4 linked regions of the Cricetulus griseus genome follow. The protein of the gene in region 3 interacts with the protein of the main gene of each other region in a biochemical or structural test. Links are inferred from orthologs where the notes say so. Each region holds a gene or a part of one and is shown on either strand. Other genes may lie near its edges.

The links.
Region 1: the proteins of Gopc (region 3) and Sstr5 form a complex in vitro, tested with the Homo sapiens proteins (2 studies listed by BioGRID and IntAct, with this or other methods). The link is inferred for Cricetulus griseus from reciprocal best matches to the Homo sapiens genes GOPC and SSTR5.
Region 2: the proteins of Gopc (region 3) and Rps6ka1 interact in a test that uses a peptide from one of them, tested with the Homo sapiens proteins (2 studies listed by BioGRID and IntAct, with this or other methods). The link is inferred for Cricetulus griseus from reciprocal best matches to the Homo sapiens genes GOPC and RPS6KA1.
Region 4: the proteins of Gopc (region 3) and corticotropin-releasing factor receptor 1 form a complex in vitro, tested with the Homo sapiens proteins (2 studies listed by BioGRID and IntAct, with this or other methods). The link is inferred for Cricetulus griseus from reciprocal best matches to the Homo sapiens genes GOPC and CRHR1.

The regions. Positions count from the first base shown.
Region 1 is NC_048600.1:45,082,363-45,086,082, reverse strand, and holds Sstr5 (somatostatin receptor type 5), read left to right. Parts: upstream 1-1,691; 5' UTR 1,692-1,764; coding exon 1,765-2,853; downstream 2,854-3,720.
Region 2 is NC_048595.1:19,392,334-19,397,116, forward strand, and holds the start of Rps6ka1 (ribosomal protein S6 kinase alpha-1), read left to right. Parts: upstream 1-1,807; 5' UTR 1,808-1,933; coding exon 1,934-1,996; intron 1,997-4,783. UniProt on the Homo sapiens protein: Serine/threonine-protein kinase that acts downstream of ERK (MAPK1/ERK2 and MAPK3/ERK1) signaling and mediates mitogenic and stress-induced activation of the transcription factors CREB1, ETV1/ER81 and NR4A1/NUR77, regulates translation through RPS6 and EIF4B phosphorylation, and mediates cellular proliferation, survival, and differentiation by modulating mTOR signaling and repressing pro-apoptotic function of BAD and DAPK1.
Region 3 is NC_048595.1:256,523,438-256,527,734, reverse strand, and holds part of Gopc (Golgi-associated PDZ and coiled-coil motif-containing protein), read right to left. Parts: intron 683-4,297; coding exon 507-682; intron 1-506.
Region 4 is NC_048600.1:117,186,977-117,191,724, reverse strand, and holds the start of corticotropin-releasing factor receptor 1, read right to left. Parts: upstream 3,335-4,748; coding exon 3,311-3,334; intron 3,217-3,310; coding exon 3,129-3,216; intron 1-3,128.

The sequences.
Region 1 (3,720 bases), on a different chromosome or scaffold from region 3:
GTTTGTTTTTTAAGTTGTTTATCTAGATGACTGCATTTTTAAAAAATTATTTTAAATTATGCCTGAATATGTGTGGTTGTGTGCATGTAAGTGCAGAAGTTCATGGAGGGCAGAAATATCAGATCTCCCTGGAGCTGGAGTTACAGGCAGTTGTGAGCTGCCCAACATAAATGCAGGAATCAAATTTGGGTCTCTGCAAGACCAACCTACACTCTTAACTGATGGGATGCCTTTCCTGGCACTAAATGACTGTATTTTCCATGCCCAAGTTCTGTGACTTCAAAGTTGGGGGACCTGCTCTATTTACTCCTTCTCCTTATAATATTTTATCCATGCTTTACTCAAAGATCTTAACACTTATTGAAACATGTTCTAGGTATACTAGTTAAATCGTCTTATTTTATTTCAATTTTTCCAGGTGAATCCACTGCTGGTCCCTTCTCCTTGGTTTTTCAGGTCATACTCCTTAGCATCCTTGAGCCTTGAGAACTTGGACTTTGGTGCATTGGCTTGTGGGGAAGAACATTTTCATTTCCTTGTTGCTGCTGCTGCTGTTCACTCTAGGATCCCCACACTCCAGCCTGCCTTTCCTTGTTCTTCAGATTGCAGTTGCCTCTGCTTGATCCTGGTTACCCCACAACGAGGTTCTGCTCTTACAGCTGTTGGAGTGTCCCATGTCTGCCATGGTTCACGCCATTACAGATCAGCTGAGCAGGCCCAGGTTTCTGAGGGTGGAATAGGTAGTGGACAGCCTGACTCAGGCTGAGGGCTCCTGCCTCCCCACGGCCTGTCCCTGGCCTGTGACCTCCAGGTACTTCAGTTCCTTGCTAGTTGCCCAACCATAGACACCAGTCCTGCCCATCTCTTCCTTTCCCAGCAGCAGAGGTGTTTGTTTCCTCTTGGGCATCTTCGCTTTTATGAAAGACTCAAACACAAAGAAACAAAAGCAAGAGAGAGTGTATGCACCTGCCACTCATCTGTCAGACACTGTCCTCCCACAACAGCCGCTCTACTTTCTTCACAAAGCCCATGAGCAGGCCCTGTGTCCTTACTCTGCTTCCCAGGCTTTAGTTCTCCTGGTTCTGCCATGTGCTGGGCTGTATGCCCCCCCCCAGGCATTGCCCACAGCCTGATGTGTTACTGTTGGCTGTTACGTCAGTTCCATGTTTTCCCTCCCTGCACTAGGCACAGGGACCTCTGGAGTCATCGCTGCTGCAGAGAGGCTTAGGCCCTGTTGGGAGTAGAAATTGTCTACTGGGGACAGCATTCCCTAGGATCTCCCACCCCAGAGAGAGTCCAACCTTCAACTTACTGGCAGAGCAGACCTAGGGTGCCACATGTGTTGAGTATGATCAGCTTACTGCAAGCGTGGCATCTCAGCCTCCCCATCCTTCTCTATCAGCCACTTCTCATAGTTTGGGGACCCCTGGAAGGTGATACCCACTGAGCTTATGTCACTTTCCTGAAATGCTGCCCTCCAGGGCTCTGAGAGGTTTTGAGAGAGGGTGCTTGACAGTAGGCCAAGCCCAGGGGACGAGGGGGGGTGTCACAGTGGCTTCTTCTTTCTCTCCAGCTTGTTTTCCAAACAATTTGCTTAATGCAATTCCCGACCAAGTTGAACATGACTAATGTTGTTTACCCACCACCGTCGGGCAGGCGGGCTGGGGATGGCTGGAGGAAGGAATGCCTGAATGTGCTCACTCATAACACCCTCTTCTCTTGCAGAGCCCCACGTGGGCTGGTACCTGGCCTGAAGCTGGCAGCATGGAGCCCCTCTTCCCAGCTTCCACACCCATCTGGAATGCCTCAGCTGCTTCCAGTAGTAACCATAACTGGTCACTGGTGAGCCCGGTATCGTCGATGGGAGCCCGGGCAGTACTGGTGCCTGTGCTCTACTTGCTGGTGTGCACGGTAGGCCTGGGTGGAAATACACTGGTCATCTATGTGGTGCTGCGGCATGCCAAGATGAAGACAGTTACTAATGTGTACATCCTGAACCTGGCTGTGGCTGACGTATTGCTTATGTTGGGGCTTCCCTTCCTGGCTACACAGAACGCCGTTTCCTACTGGCCCTTTGGCCCCTTCCTGTGCCGCCTGGTCATGACGCTGGATGGCATCAACCAGTTCACCAGTATCTTCTGCCTGATGGTCATGAGTGTTGACCGCTACCTAGCTGTGGTCCACCCTCTCCGCTCAGCCCGATGGCGTCGCCCGAGGGTAGCCAAGCTGGCCAGCGCCGCTGTCTGGGTCTTCTCACTGCTCATGTCTCTGCCACTCCTGGTCTTCGCAGATGTCCAGGAGGGCTGGGGTACCTGCAACCTAAGCTGGCCAGAACCTGTGGAACTGTGGGGCGCAGCCTTCATAACCTACACATCTGTCCTGGGCTTCTTTGGGCCCCTGCTGGTCATCTGTTTGTGCTACCTGCTCATTGTGGTGAAGGTGAAGGCTGCAGGTGTGCGTGTAGGCTCCTCTCGGCGACGGCGCTCAGAGCGCAAGGTGACTCGCATGGTGGTGGTGGTAGTGCTAGTGTTCGTGGGCTGCTGGCTGCCTTTCTTCATTGTCAACATTGTCAACCTGGCCTTCACACTGCCTGAGGAACCTGCCTCTGCTGGCCTCTACTTCTTCGTGGTGGTCCTGTCTTATGCTAACAGCTGTGCCAATCCCCTGCTCTATGGCTTTCTCTCTGATAACTTCCGCCAGAGTTTCCGGAAGGTTCTGTGCCTACGTAGAGGATACGGTATGGAGGATGCAGATGCCATAGAGCCACGTCCAGACAAGAGTGGACGGCCACAGGCCACACTGCCCACACGCAGCTGTGACGCCAATGGACTCATGCAGACCAGCAGGCTTTGAGTGCCCCAGTCGTACCAGGGTCCTGCTGATGTTGTCTTCTAGGATGTGGGTGTGCTGAGATGCTCTTGTCCCCAGGTCTACAAGTTGGACTCCTCTTGGTGGCAGTGTGAAGAGAGCTGCCTGAGGCTAAGCCATGGGTAGATAGTACAGCTGGTGTCCTGTGGTGACTGACCATCTCTTTCATCAAAATGTCCTGCCAGGCCAGGGTCTGAGAGTTTGGAGATCATGAGACAGACTTGGCAGGGAGGAAGGGCTGAGTTTTGCCCCCCCCCAGGAAATAATCAGGCACCTTCACTCTCTATGTGGCATACTTGTCAGCCTCTCAGGCCAAGAAGCAATTTCCCAGGAGGAAGCCAGGAGATACTGTTGGTTTGTGCCAGTGACTGCCCACCCTGAAGCTGTGCTGGGCCCTCAACCACTGCTGTGTCCATGTTCTGGTCAGCATGGAAGCCAAATGAAAAGCATCCATGTGTGCTTGACCCTGGCCTCTGCTCACAGTCCGAGGCCTCTGTCACTTGCAGCTGCATGTACTTTGAGGCAACAGGAGAAGCTGCTGCACTGGCCCTGGGACAGAGATAAAACCCTACTCTGGGGCCCTGCTCTGGCCTTTCCACATCTTTCTCTAGCATGAAGAAAGTGAGGCCTTGGCCTCCACAGTGGGAGTGGGTGTGCAGAGCAGACACACAGTGAAGAGTGAGAAGAGGAATAGACTCACCAGGATCTGGTCTATTCAGAGTGGCCCAGTAAGGGTGGCCCTGAGGAAAGACTCTACGGAGGCATCCCTGAGGTTCAGAGACTGAGAACACATGGGGGAATTAATAGCACTCCTTCTCCTTAAGACTAGGACTCTGTTCTTGGAAAGGGGGC
Region 2 (4,783 bases), about 240 Mb from region 3:
TCAGTGTCCACTTCGAACGTGTGTGTGTGTGTGTGTGTGTGTGTGTGTGTGTGTGTGTGTGTTGTGTGTGCCCATGTATTGTAGGCAGCAGGCTGACAACCCATGTCTTTATCTTTTTGTTTGTTTATTTATCTATTGTGGATCTCTCACTGGACCTGGGGCTAAGCTAGGGAGACAATGAGCTCCAGGGATCCTGTCTCAGCCACCTCAGCAATGAGATTACAAATGTTTATTGCCTGACCTTCATCTGTTTCTATTTCTTCTTCAATTTAACTTTTTTTTTTTTAGACAGCATCATCATTATGCAGCCAAAGATGGCCCCAAGGTCACAATCACCTGGCCCCAGTTTCCTGAATTAAATTTATTTCTATTTATTCATTTACTTACTTTTTTTTTTTTTTTTTTTGAAACAGAGTATCACTATGTAGCTCTGGCCAGCCTGGAATTCAGAGGCTCTGTTGCCTTCCTAATGCTAGAATTAAAGTCGTGCACCATTACACCTCACTTAAAAATGTTATTGCATGCAAATTTATTGGGAGAAGTTGTCTCTGGGCCAGAGCACGTTTGTGGAGGTCAGAGGACAACTTGTGGGTGTTGGTTCTCTCCTTCACCATCTGGGACCTGAGAGTCACCCACAGCATCGGTCTCGCAGGCAAGCTCATTTACCCATTGAGCCGTCTCACAAGTCCATCCCACACCCTTCTAAAGACGAATGTACTCCCGATCCTGTGTGACTTTGGATAAATCACTTCCTATTTCTGAGTGTCTAGTAGGAGGTGGTGAGTTCTCAAGAGAATCACAAGCCACCTGGAGGTATAGGTCCATGGTACCAAATGCAACTTAGCGTGCAAAGCCTGGCTCCCATACCCAGAACCAACTAAGCAAGGGAACACAAACACACTCACAGACACACACACACACACACACACACACACACACTCACACACACACACACACACACACAAACACACACACACACACATACACACACACACACACACACAAACACACACACACGGCAGGAGGCTTTTAGGAAACTAACCAGCTTGTCGTTGGGCTATCTCACCTGAGACCACACCTGGGCCCTACGACCTCTTTAGGCGTAGGCCAAATCCTGCCTGAGGGAATCGTGACCCCACTAGGCCTAGACTTTGCCCTCTTCACAGGGCTTCAAGTTCAAACCAGACCACCATCCGGCCTGGCGCGGAAGAGACGCTGGACCTGGCCTGAAACCAGCGCCCTCAAGCGATAGGGCACAGACTGGGAGGGAAAAAATGCGTGTTGAGAAATCACCCTGGGGGCGCTGTGGGTCCTGACGCTGGGACATGGGGATCACTTAAGAGACCCCAGGTGGGCTCCCTGCTGTGCGGAGGCTTGCGGAGGGAGAGCCTGAGGACACACGGCCCCGGATCCTTCCAAGCCTCTGTCTGGATCAGGCCCAGGACATCCCTGGTAGGGTGGCAGCCCCTCCCGCTGGAGGGAGAAGGCACATCTGGGTTAAGATTCCAAATGCTGCGAGGACGGGACAACGGTGGCCCGGGCGGGGTCTGCGCGGGGACACACAGGCCGGGAAGAAGGAAGCCGCAGACTCTCCGGCGGGCAGGGCCCCGAGTGGGCCAGGGGCTCGAGGGAAGGCGGGGCCGACTCCCAGCGCGTTGGGGGCGGGGGTCCGCGCCGGGAATGCCGCGCCGTGGGGATGGGCGGGGCTGCCCAGGCCCCGCCCCCGCGCAGGTAGCCAATGGGCGCGGCGGCGCCGGGTGACGGAGGGAGCCGAAGTGCGAGTGCCGCGGCGGCGGCGGCGGCGGACGGCCCAGCCGGAGCGCGAGGGCGCGGGCGCGCGGGGGGTCTCAGTGCAGCGCCGGGGACCCCGGGGCCCGGAGGCAGCGCAGCCCGGGGCCGCCGAGAGCAGCGCGAGCGGGTCGGCGGCGGCGCGATGCCGCTCGCCCAGCTCAAGGAGCCCTGGCCGCTCATGGAGCTGGTGCCGCTGGACCCGGAGGTGAGTGAGAGGGGCGGGGGACAGGCGGCGGCGGCCGGCCGGCCAGCCCGCGGATCCGCACAGGGGCGGGGCGGCCCGCGTCGTCTCTGCAGCCCCGCGAGGACGCGAGTGCCCTCTGGTCTCTAGCCCACTGGCCGGCTCCACCCCCCTGTGCTCCGGGTGTGCGTGTGCAGGGCACGGTTCTGCTGGACGCTCAGTACCTCCTTGCAGTAGCCAGGAGAGGGAACCCCACGGGCTCTCGAGATTTGACACCCTAAGCACCCCTAGGACTCGTCCCGCTTATCATCTTTTGGGAGCTGTGGGAGTTGCCCCAGTCATTGCAGAAGGGAAAGGCTTGGGTCAGATGTCTGAGGTTCTGTTAGAGACAAGGATCATGGGAATCTGGTTTCTCCCCGTATCTTCTCTTCAAGAGCTCTCTTCGTTCCTCCACTTCTGACCTTAGGAAGGTAGCCCTTCTGGACCGTGGCAGTTATGGAATGTGGGATTTTACCACCTCTGGAGTGGGGACCTCCTGGTTTCCTTTGCCCTAATGCTAATGACACACGGGTCTCCTCCTTCAGGTTATGCTGAAGAGAGGGGAGAGCCCTTAGACCTTGTGAAGATTGTCTCTGGGGAAGAGACCCCGCATCCGTCTTCCTCTCTCCCTCCTTCTTCCTTTCCTGGAGAAAAGGCTGGGCCCTTGGGCAGTGTGGCTTCTACCATCTAGTCTCTCCCAGAAGCAGCTCCTATCCTACCAGGGCTTTGTGGTCCAACCCTGAGCATGTAGGAGGCCACTTTTGGTGGTGTCCAGTGACCCTGGGATCAAGGTCAAGTCTTAAACCAGCAAGTTGAAAACTTTGCCCTGCTCTCATACTGGGAAGGAGGCAGGTGAAACTTTGCCTTAACTGGAGCTGTTAGGGTACAGAAGACAGATGGAGACCTCACTTGACCCCAGAACCTAGATGATCTTTCTGCTGGCTTGAACCCTTACCTATGTTTGGGACCTCAGGGCAGTCACCATCGGTCCTGCCTGTCAGGGCCACAGGTAGAGGGATCCACAGTGGGGACCCCAGGTCTTCAGGCACCCAGAGCATGCTGCCCCTTTAAAGGGATGGGCTACACTGGCTATTGGAGGGTGGGCGCGGCTGGATTAGGTAACCAACCTGAAGGCGCAATTTGGAGTAAATTGTTCTGGGATCCCTGCCATGGGGTTTTTACAGGCCCTACACAGCCCTCAGAGGTTCTCTCGCTGACTCACCCTGGTAGGTGAGGAGCACTGCCCTGTGCAGCCCCTGTTGCCTTCCCCCCCACCTCAGGGCTGGGCACAAGGCCTGCGGGAAGGCTCAGAGGTGTATTCCTTTGCCTGGGCACGCCCCTGCCACCTGGGCCTCCAGAGGAAGGTCGAGCTGAGCTGGGTATGGTTAGGGAGGGACTTAGCCTGGCGATTCACAGTGTTACACTAGCAGGGAGGGTAGAGATCTGGTAGCCCTGGCCTCCTCCAGGGCAGCACTTCCTGCTTCCCTTTGGGAAATCCTGAGGCCACAGCCAGCTTCATAGGGGCCAGGTTAAACCGGAAACTTCTTAGTTTGAACACTGTTGCACCTGAATTTGGGGAGAGGAGACTGTCGGATTTCCTGGGATGGGGAGAGGAGTTTACAATGAGTTTTACTTCAGAAATGCTGAGTGGCCCGTAGTCCATGTTCCGGCTCTCTTGGGCTTCTCTTTTCACTGCCACAAATGCACTTCTAAATCTGCTTCCTGGGCCTGACAAGGTGCAAAACCCTGGGTACTGCTGTTGGTGTCCCCTCCCCCCGGGCCATGGAGGTGCCAGTGGACTGGGTGTTATTGTCTGGGTAACAGGAGCCATGGGGCAGTGAGGGTGTGCATTCTTACTTGAGAACAGGGCCTTGCTGTTCTTAGTGCAGATGGCATGTAAGCGATACATGTGCCTGACCCGCAGGTACTGGCGCCATTGTGGGCAGCTTCTAGCCAGGAAGGAAGCAGGTAAGGGGGCTGGCAGGGGCATTTGGCAAAAGAGGTTTGGGATCTGAATTGCCCTGCCTTCCCATTGCTATCACCAAAAAGTGGGCTGCTGGGCCCAGGTGGAATAAACCAGTCCGAAGTGTGGGTGAGGATGCTGCCTGGGTTTTCTTGGTTTGGGCAAAAACAAGAGAGTCTGGTCTCCAGGCCCTATCCTGCCAGGCTTCACTATCTGGTGTCCATGGATGTTATATGACTTTAATTTTCACAACTTCTCAAGATAGAAATTATGACTCCCATTTTCAGAGGGGACAGCTGAATTTAGAAATGCTGGCACCTGCATTAATATGTGGGGCAGGATTGGAACTCAGGGCTCTTGCTGTTTCCTACCAAGCAATGGAGACTTAAAGATGAGCATGGGCTAGGTTTAAACTGGCACAGGTGGCAGGTACTCCAAGAGCAGCTCCGGATGTTGGCACAAACTTCTCAGTCCGCAGGGCCCTTGTCCAGCCTTGGCGGAGGGCTAGCGGTGTCCTGGCACTTGGCCCCCAGGCTCCAGCAGTGTACAGGGCTGCCAATGCTGGGCTCAGACCCCAGTTCCTGGGGCTGCTTCCTGCCTGCGGGGCATGTACTATCTTTCTCCATCTGTTCTGTTCTGCTCTTGACTTTTCCAGGAGCTGCTCTGCACCCTTAAGTGGGAAGAGGCATGTCTTCCGACTCTGGGAAGGGGTGCAGTGCTCTAGGGGTTCTGAGCAGGTGTCCATCCTCCCAATTGGTGCTCCTGAGGAAGAGAGGAGAATGGAGTGCTCCAAGAAGCCAAAGGTCTAG
Region 3 (4,297 bases):
CAGGATCTCTGGAAGAGCAGCCAGTGCTCTTAACCTCTGAGCCATCTCCCCAGTCCTAAAATGTTTTGATACTAGCATGTCACCAAAGTTTGCGACTAATGCCACTAACAATATTAAAGCCAACAGAACTTTATAATAAAATTACTTTTATTCTTAAATATATTTGAGGGTCCAAAAAGATCAGCTGTAAAGGGCCCAGGGATTCCTTCCTGCTGACCACATGAGCACTGCCTGTTGCAGAGTCAAGGCAGGAAATAAGTGAAAGTTATTACTCTGCAGAGTTACAGGCATCTCACAGTAAGTTAGCATCAGTCTGTGTTTGTAAAATATGCTTATTTAGTATGTATGGATAAATCAATCTGAAATACATAATGCTGCCAATATTAATTCAACACTACTATCATGTAGCTACATATGAAAATGACTGAGGGTAAAATAGTTCATTCATAAGAGATGAGCCAACCACTCGCCATCTAAGAACACAAGCAGAGCCGTCCTTTACACACCTGCCCGCCAGCTCCTTATCCAAGTACTTGGCAGCCAGTCTCGCCCCATAGACTTCAGCCTGGAGGACAGCTATGTGCCTTCGGAGGGCCTCGTTCTCCTTCCTTAGCAGCTTCACCTCAGCTTCAAGTTGAGCTTCTTTGACTTTTTCTGTTTTATTTGCTTCAAGCTCTCTTTCCTATTGTGATTTTTAAAACATAATTTTGTAACAATGTCTTTATGATTCTACATCCAGGAGACAGTTCTTCTTAAAAATACACACAAGCTCAGCATATAATACAAACAATGCAAACATGGGGAATTGGATTGGAACACCAAGGCTGAATTTAGTTCTTTCTTTTGTTTTTATATTTATTTTTAGTGCGAGTGCCACACATATGCGGGCTGTCCATGCAGAGAAAGGATCACATCCCTTAGAGCTGCAGTTCCTGGTGGTTTTAAGCAGGCTGATGGGGGTGTGCTGGGTCCTTTGGAAGAACAGCAAGTGCTCTTTTATTTGTTTGTTTGTTTGTTTGTTTTTCAAGACAGAGTTTCTCTGTGTAACAGCTCTGGCTGTCCTGGAACTCACTCTGTAGACCACATTGGCCTCAAACTGACAGAGATCTGCCTGCCTCTGCCTCCCAAGTGCTGGGGTTAAAGGCATGTGCCACCAACCCCCTGACTCAGCAAATGTTCTTAATTGCTGAGCCATCTCTTTAGATGATGATTGTTTCTTTGTTTTTTAACATAAAGTCTTGATAGATATCTCAGGCTGGCCTGCAACTCACTAGGTAGCCCAGGCTAGCCCCGAACCTGAAATCCTTCATCCCATCTCTCAAGTGCTGGGATTAGGGATACATAAAACAATGCCTGGCTGGATTTTCTTCTTTTAAAACCAGGAACACAGTGTTTTGGCCCTTCTTTTGGATAAGTGCATGCCGTGATGCACCCTGACACTACGAGAAGCAAGAGCAGTCTTCTTTAAGCAAGACACTGTGTCTACTTACTTTATAAACATGACTAAAGAAACTAGACTAATAGAAAAATAATAAGCCACCTACAATAGCTCATGACTGTAAGACTCTGGGGGTTGCAGTGGAGGGACCCTGAGTTCCCAGTCACCCTTGGCTACACACAGTTCCAGGCTAGCTTTTACCCACTGGACCATCACACTGTTCCACTCTTAGTTTTCAGAAACCACCATATAACCATGCATGGAGAGCCTGCAGTTACTATGTTAGAGCATACATTCAAAATTCTGTAGTAGAATGGCTATGGTGTGGAGTAGTCTCAATCTCTGGATCTAGTTCATGTATTTGTAACTTACAGCAGATCACAGAGTGATTTTTCTAAGGAAAACAACTTCTTCCCTTTGGCTCCTATGAAGTAAAATAGTCATCCATTTCAGCTCTCATAAAAGAAGCCATCTTCAGCCTTCTATGTGAAGCTACAGGTATTACAGGGCATAATCCCAAAATCATCACCATTAAGTTTTTGTCTTTCTGAAACACAGTTTATCTGCGTAGCCCTGGCTGCCCTGGAACTCACTCTGTAGACCAGGCTGGCCTCAAACTCAGAGATCTACGTCCTGAGTGCTGGGATTAAAGGTGCCACAATCGCTTGGCTAAAGTTTTACTGTAAGTTCATATATAAGAATTAATGTCCACTTTTCCCTGAGTTTATACAGTGTTTATACTCACAGACCATGGGATCAGGATCCAAGTATAAAATGGGAGGCTTCAAGTCAAAGCAGAATGCAAAATGGGAAGTACAAATCCTGCCCAAAGAAAGGCAAATTCCAAATCAGATGCTCACTATGTGTGTGACCAAACACACCTCTCCTGACAGCTGAATAGAGGCACCAGAGGTATTAGTTCTGAGTCAAAACTGCCCAAACACTCCACACTGGCATTTATCCTCATCAGAGCCACTCTTGCTGACTTACGGAAGTTCACAGAGACTAAGAAAATATGGTTATGCTTGTTCATGAGATAAGCGGACATTACTCAACTCATCATTGTGTCCCCTTTATGAATACTTCGCTTCTCACAAGGGAAAACTGTTTCTGTTGAGGAACTGGCAAATGTGTCAGTCTCTGTTATAGCCTACAACTACATAGTTATTTCCCTTTTATTCTAGCTATTGAGAAGGTATACAATAGATATGTACCCAGCCACTGGGAGGCTGGGAGGCAGGACAAATCAGGAGTTCAAAGCCAGCCTCGGCTATATAGCATGTTTGAAACTAGCCCAGGCTACCAAAGACCCTATCTTAAGCAAACAATTGAGCTGTAATCCCAGTACTCTGGAGGCAGAGGCATGAGAAATTGCTCAAGTGTAAAGCCAGCCTAGGCTATACAGCTAGTTCCAGGACAGTCAGTGCTATATAATGAGGTGTGTCTCAATAAAGGGGGTGGGGGAAAATACACAACAAATATAATTGTTGGCCAATTTGTTGAACATATTTTGGTACTAATTTAGTTGACGCTTTGTTCTATTTTGACCAACATCAAAAATGATGTTCAAATACAAGGTATAATGAAATCTTTTCTTTGAGTACAAATGTCTGTTACATATAAGGCTGGGAGTGTAGCTTAATGGTGGAATGCTTGCCTAGCATGGGTCTGATCCTAACTGGAGAACCCTGTCGATTTGATAAGAATATTTATTATATAACTGACAAACAGAAGGAAAATAAGCAGGTTTTTGTTTTCAGCTTTTGCAAAGATGCACACACACATGTCCACCCACAATTTCTAGACATTATTAAAAGGGATTTGAGAAGCTACTAATGCAGACTCTCTTTTATAGCAATTTTGGAATTATGAATCTCCATCCCTCCTGTTCTCCTTACCTTTCTTTCTCTCTGCGATAGTTCATCACATAACCCAGGCTGGCTGTGCCACCTAGCCTGATTTTATGTGGGGCTGGGAACTGACCCTGGGGCTCTATCCACGCTAGGCACACTCCACTCACCGAGCTTCATTCCCAGCCTGGAGACCAAGATTTCTTCAGTGTATAGGTTATATAAACACTACCAAAGGATTATCTCCTTCCAATTACTTTAATGAGCTAGTTACACTGGACTAATGAATTTCAGATACTTATGAGACTATCACTTTCTTTTAATAATTCAAATCCCCAAAGAATCGACAGTGCCTGAGACTTGAAATTAAGACATGAGAGCCAGCCAGCCAGCCACAGGGATGTACACCCATTTAACCCTAGTGCTTCAGGGGCAGAGGCAGGCAGACCTCTGTGAATTCAAGGGCAGCCTGTCATTTAAAAAATATGTAAAAAAGAATATGATTACCGAAACTGAAGAGAATTACTTTAAGATTTAGAGATAGTTTATAAATTTGTTTCCTGGTTAACCTTTTTGTATTGGGTAATAAGCATAAAGTTTGTTTCAAGTTTTAGACTTGTAAAAAGTGAATTTTCAGAAGTGGTAAAGTCATGAAGAATTTATATACTGTTACTGTCTAAAATCATTTCTGATAAAAAATTTAAAATGCAATGTTTTAAAGGCTACACAATCATTACCAAACCTGCTAGAAGGTTCTAACACATGCAGTGGATGAAGGAATCGCATGCACGCTCTCTTAATGGGAACGAGGGCAGACAGAAACTTGATGGGGGTAAAAACTAGGCCTGGTTAATACACCTTCAATACCCTCATGCAGGTATTTTTGCCGAAGTAGATGTGTGAGCAAGTTACAAGACTCAAAAGTTGTCAAAAATTGATGGGCTCTGCTAATAATGGCTGTAAGTCACAAATGAAAGGTAAGTCTTTAGCCACATGCAGTGAGAAAAAC
Region 4 (4,748 bases), on a different chromosome or scaffold from region 3:
CAAAACAAAACAAAACAATTCAAAATACTCAAGTCACCTAAGAAATGGCATGAACTAGAGATATAAAATGAATGAAACAGGTCGGGCAGTGGTGGCACATGTCTTTAATCCCTGCATTCAGAAGGCAGAGGCAGGCGATCTCTGTAAGTTTGAGGCCACCCTGGTCTACAGAGCAAGTTTCAGGGCAGCCAGGGCTACACAGAGAAATCCTGTCTCGAAAAAACAGCAAAACAAAACAAAACAGAAAGAATAAAAGATGTCCTGTCCCAAGGGTGATTGCATCCTAGCGGGAGACAGAGTGATTGAGCAAGCATGTGCTATCCTGTGAGAAATACTACAAACAATGTACGGAAATAAAGACGAACTAGATGCTATTTTAATTTGGAGTTTCTCTAAAACACTAAGTTTAATTATGAACTTGAAGGGAGGGAGGGAGTCATGGGCATAGATGGTGAAGAGGGAGCAGCCGATACAAAGGTCCTGAGGCAGGTGTTTGCTGAGGTCTCTGGGGTTGACATTCTCGTCACTGTGTCACGCAGATAACAGATAAGGGCCCTTTGAAGGGTGGCCCAGTTTCTGCTTGTGCACAGTTGGGCACTGGTTTCTTCTGTCAAGTTGGCCACACAATTCCCTCCCTATCAAGCTTAGTGCCCTAATGTGCGCAGAGGGCCCTCGTGCTGTAGGTAATGCTGGAAGGAAACTAGAACCATGCTCCTGTCCCAGTTAGGAGTGGTCTTCCATCACACGCTTCTGAGTGAACCACAGAGGGTGTGAGCACTTGGCAGCCCCCTTTCAGGTAGGAAGATCTGATCTACCTATCTGATTTGAGACTGGGGACACTCCTCCGAGGCTTCCTGGGGAGCAGGAAGGTGCTCTAGGGCAACCTCAAAGATGGGTACTCCTGCTAGGAGGAGAGTGCTCTGGGATGAAAGGGCAGTTGCTCTGTTTGGGTGACACGGCACAGACAGAGGCACGGGGCAGGCAGGCAGTCTTGGCACCTCGGGTTAAGCTGCCTCTTTAGCAGGGTGAAGAAAGGTGTCTCTGTAGAGTGTGGGCCACACGAAGAGAGAGGTAGAAGCCTGTGAGGCTTCCTGCCTTGTGCTCTGACCACTCCTGATGTTTGCACTCAATACCTTGTAGAAGTCCAGGCACATAGTAGGTGCTGAAGAAACCATAGGGCCATATACAAGTTTAGTGTGCTCAGGGAAAACTGCAGGGCTGACACTGCACCTCCAAGTGACACTGTGTCTCCAAGTAACATTGGGCCCTGGATATGACAGATCTCTTAAGTGACCACATAATGTATTAAATCTGAAATCAGGCTCAGTTGGCTCAACCCCTGTGGCCAGTGCTTGGCAACTGTGTGTGCTCAGTCCAAGTTACTCAACCTTTCTGAGTGTAAGGTTCCTTTTCTCTAAAGCGGGAACCAAAATCCTTGCTGAATCTATTGTGATGACCGGATGAGGCTGAGCACCTAGAATTGTGCCCAACATGAAGTGGACATCCACACGAATCAGCTGTTATTATTACGGTTTGTTGTTCATCGTTACCGCCTTAAGAACAGCGATGGGAACTAGTGACCCCACGTCCTCCTGAGCCCTGACTCCACTTATCTGGGGTGTTACTAGTCAGTAATTCTATTACTTTCTGGCACAGTCATACTCATGCCATGATTTTATAAGTTGCCAAGTCTATAATCTGTCACATGATGGGGGCCTTGGCCATGGGAACCTAGCCCCTCCTTACTTCTGGCATGAGGCATGTGCAAGGCCCCCAAAGGTTTCAGCACAGTGCCAGCCACTCGGGCCAGACGCCCATCCATCTGTCCCGGGCCCTCCACCCCACTCTCACCATCTGTCTCTGCCAATGCCCATCAGATGACAAATGGCCAGAGCGGAGGCCACTGTGGAAGGTGATGGATTGCATCCTATGGAGCCAGGCAGGCTGGGAGGGGGTGGGGCATCCAGCACAAATCACGGAAGAATGAACATCATCCCTCACAGCCTGCTGCCTCCAAGGACAGGTGACACCTGTGTGGCTCCAGGGTGTCACTTCTCTTGAATAGGAGCAAGTTAATGGAGCCTGACCTGGCCTGGGGTGGAGAGGAGGGACGGGGACCTTTCCTCCAGGCATCCTCCCTGCCTGTCCTTGGCTGCCACTGCTGATAGGCTGAGAGCAACGCACTCCCTGCTCAACCCAGCCAGTGGGTAGTCCAATGCTGGGACGGCCAGGGCCTTCTTCACCTTGGTGAGTCCTTCTGCCAACTTAGCCACTGGTGTTCAATCACTGACTGCTCTATCTCTAGGCTCACTTAAAAACCCCTCCTTCAGGAAGGCTTCTGGGATTTGCCCTACCCCTATCCTAGCCTCCCTGACACCCTCCGTTGTAGTAAGCAAGCAATCGTAGGGTGTACTTTCTCTTTCTCCTAGGTGCACAGTAAGTACTTTGAAAAAGCTACCCATGATTATACCCAGTAGCTGTCTGGATGTTACAGCTTATGAAACAAACCTGCAAAACTCAGTGCATTTAACCTCAGGATCCCCCTCCCTCAATTTGGGCAAAGCAAAGCCCAAAGAAGTCCAGGGCATCATCTTCCTGTGAGTACCAGTATTGGGAACTGAACCCGGGTCCTCTAGAAGAACGCGCAGTGCTCTTAACCACTGTGTTATCTCTCCAGCCCCTTACCTAGAATTTTCTATTGGGCAGGTATTGAGCATCACCAGGGAGCCAGACTGCCTTTGCAACCCAGGCTCTAGCACTTAGTGCTTGTCTGTGCCTCAGTTGCCTTTGGAGTCAGATGGGTGACAGGATCTCAAATCCCTGGTGCTAGCAGCATGTAGCCTTACTCTCCAGCATATTTAGCAACAGCAGCAGCCTTGGACCTTTTGCCAATATCCTCAGCAGTGAGGCCTGGAGGGCTTTCCCCTGTTGCCCCCTGGGATGGTGACCACAAGGCACCTTTGCTGAGTGTGTTTCCTGTGCCCACAGACGAGGCTCCTGGATAACTACAGGCCCCTTTACCCTCACTGACTCCAGTTCCAGAGATTTTTCTATACAGGTCGCTGCTCAGAGCTCTAGGGAAGGAGATCCTGTGGGAACCTGGGAGCTAAGGGGCAGGGATGACTCACCAGAGACATTGCTGGCCAGGGACAGGCTCTCACAGCGCTGGTCTTGCAGGGAGGTGGAGACAGGGTTCAGCCCCAGGAGGAGAAGGGCCTGTGGACACAAGGGGGTACAGGACACTGTTAGGGGGGTACTCATCAGTCTGAGCTGATGATTCTTGCCCCCCCTCCTCTGCCCAGCATCCTACCCTTGCCCAGTCTCCTGGTCCCATCCAGAATGTTTGAAATTGCCTGGTTCACGCAGGGCCTGGAATGGAGGCACAGACCCCAAACATGTCTAACGCGGTCGCTCCAAGTGCATGCACACACATTTGCACACAACCCTCCACCTTCCTTACCTCTGTGGTATTTCAGGCCCGTGGTTATGAGCTCCTCCTGAGCCTTCATCCCTGTCAATGACTACCAGTCATTGCAAATTGAGCCTCATGTTTCAAGCTCTTCCGATGTCCTGCGATATCTACAATGGCTTAATTCACCCCGGGGACAGCATGGATATGGCTACTGAAGATGGGGAAACTGAGGCGCTAAAGAAATGATTGTGTCTGGGAAGATGGGTCACCTATTCCAGGGAAGGCCTTTAACCCTACTGAGGGCCCAGTGTTACTCTGACTCCAGGGTTTCAGCCATGAGTCCTATGACCGGAAGACGATCCCTTCTTGAATGAACAGCCCCACCCCAACAATGATGAGCACTTTCTTGGGTTACTATCCTCTCTACAGGTGGGAGTCTGGATGAGTGGGCCATGTGACCTCTCCGGGCCTCAGTGTCCTTGCTCTAAAGCAAGTGCAGGCCTCCCCTGTGTCTGTGCTTACACTGTATTCATTCTGGCAATGAGGCTAATGAATGATGTTTTTGGGTACACAATGGGCGCTCAATGAGGATTTACATACTCAGTAGTTGTTAGCTGACCTAACTAGGGAGGTGGAGATGGGCTGGGGCCTCGTCTGTTGGGATTCATTCTGCAAATGGGGTCCAGAAGCATGTGGGGTGGGAGAGGGGAACTACGACAGGCTGTCTTTTCTCCACTGGGGACCTAACCACCGTGAGAAGAATCCCCAGGTAGGATGGCAACCCTGGGAGTGTTCTCCACATAGTCACCCCACTCTGCTCTCCTGTTCCCTCTTTAGGGGTCCTAGGATCAAGAGGATTATCAATAAGGACCACCACATCCAGCTTGAGAAGCAAATGGAGCCCTAGTTTTAATTTGACTGTGGATGGGCTAAGTCAGTCTCTCTCTCTCTCTCTCTCTCTCTCTCTCTCTGTGTGTGTGTGTGTGTGTGTGTGTGTGCATGTGTCCCCATCTGTCTATCTGTCCATCTGTCTGGCTCCCTTCAGGGGCCAGTCCCCCCAGCCTCACCAGTACTCACTTCCCCTTCTGTCATATATTGATGACAAAGGCAGGCTCTTCTGCCTTCTTTCCCACCATGCATTTGTATTCCTGACCACAGCCTGGACCCACTCCCATAAGAGCCATCCCTAATCCTGGTGACTTACAGAGCCACACTATACCCTTAAGTCCTTAGTGGGCTTTCATCCATTCCCCCACCTCAGGCACCCTCCCTCCATCTCACCCCAGGACTCTTACTGACACAAGTATGAAACTCAACAGTCTCCAGTCCCCCCATT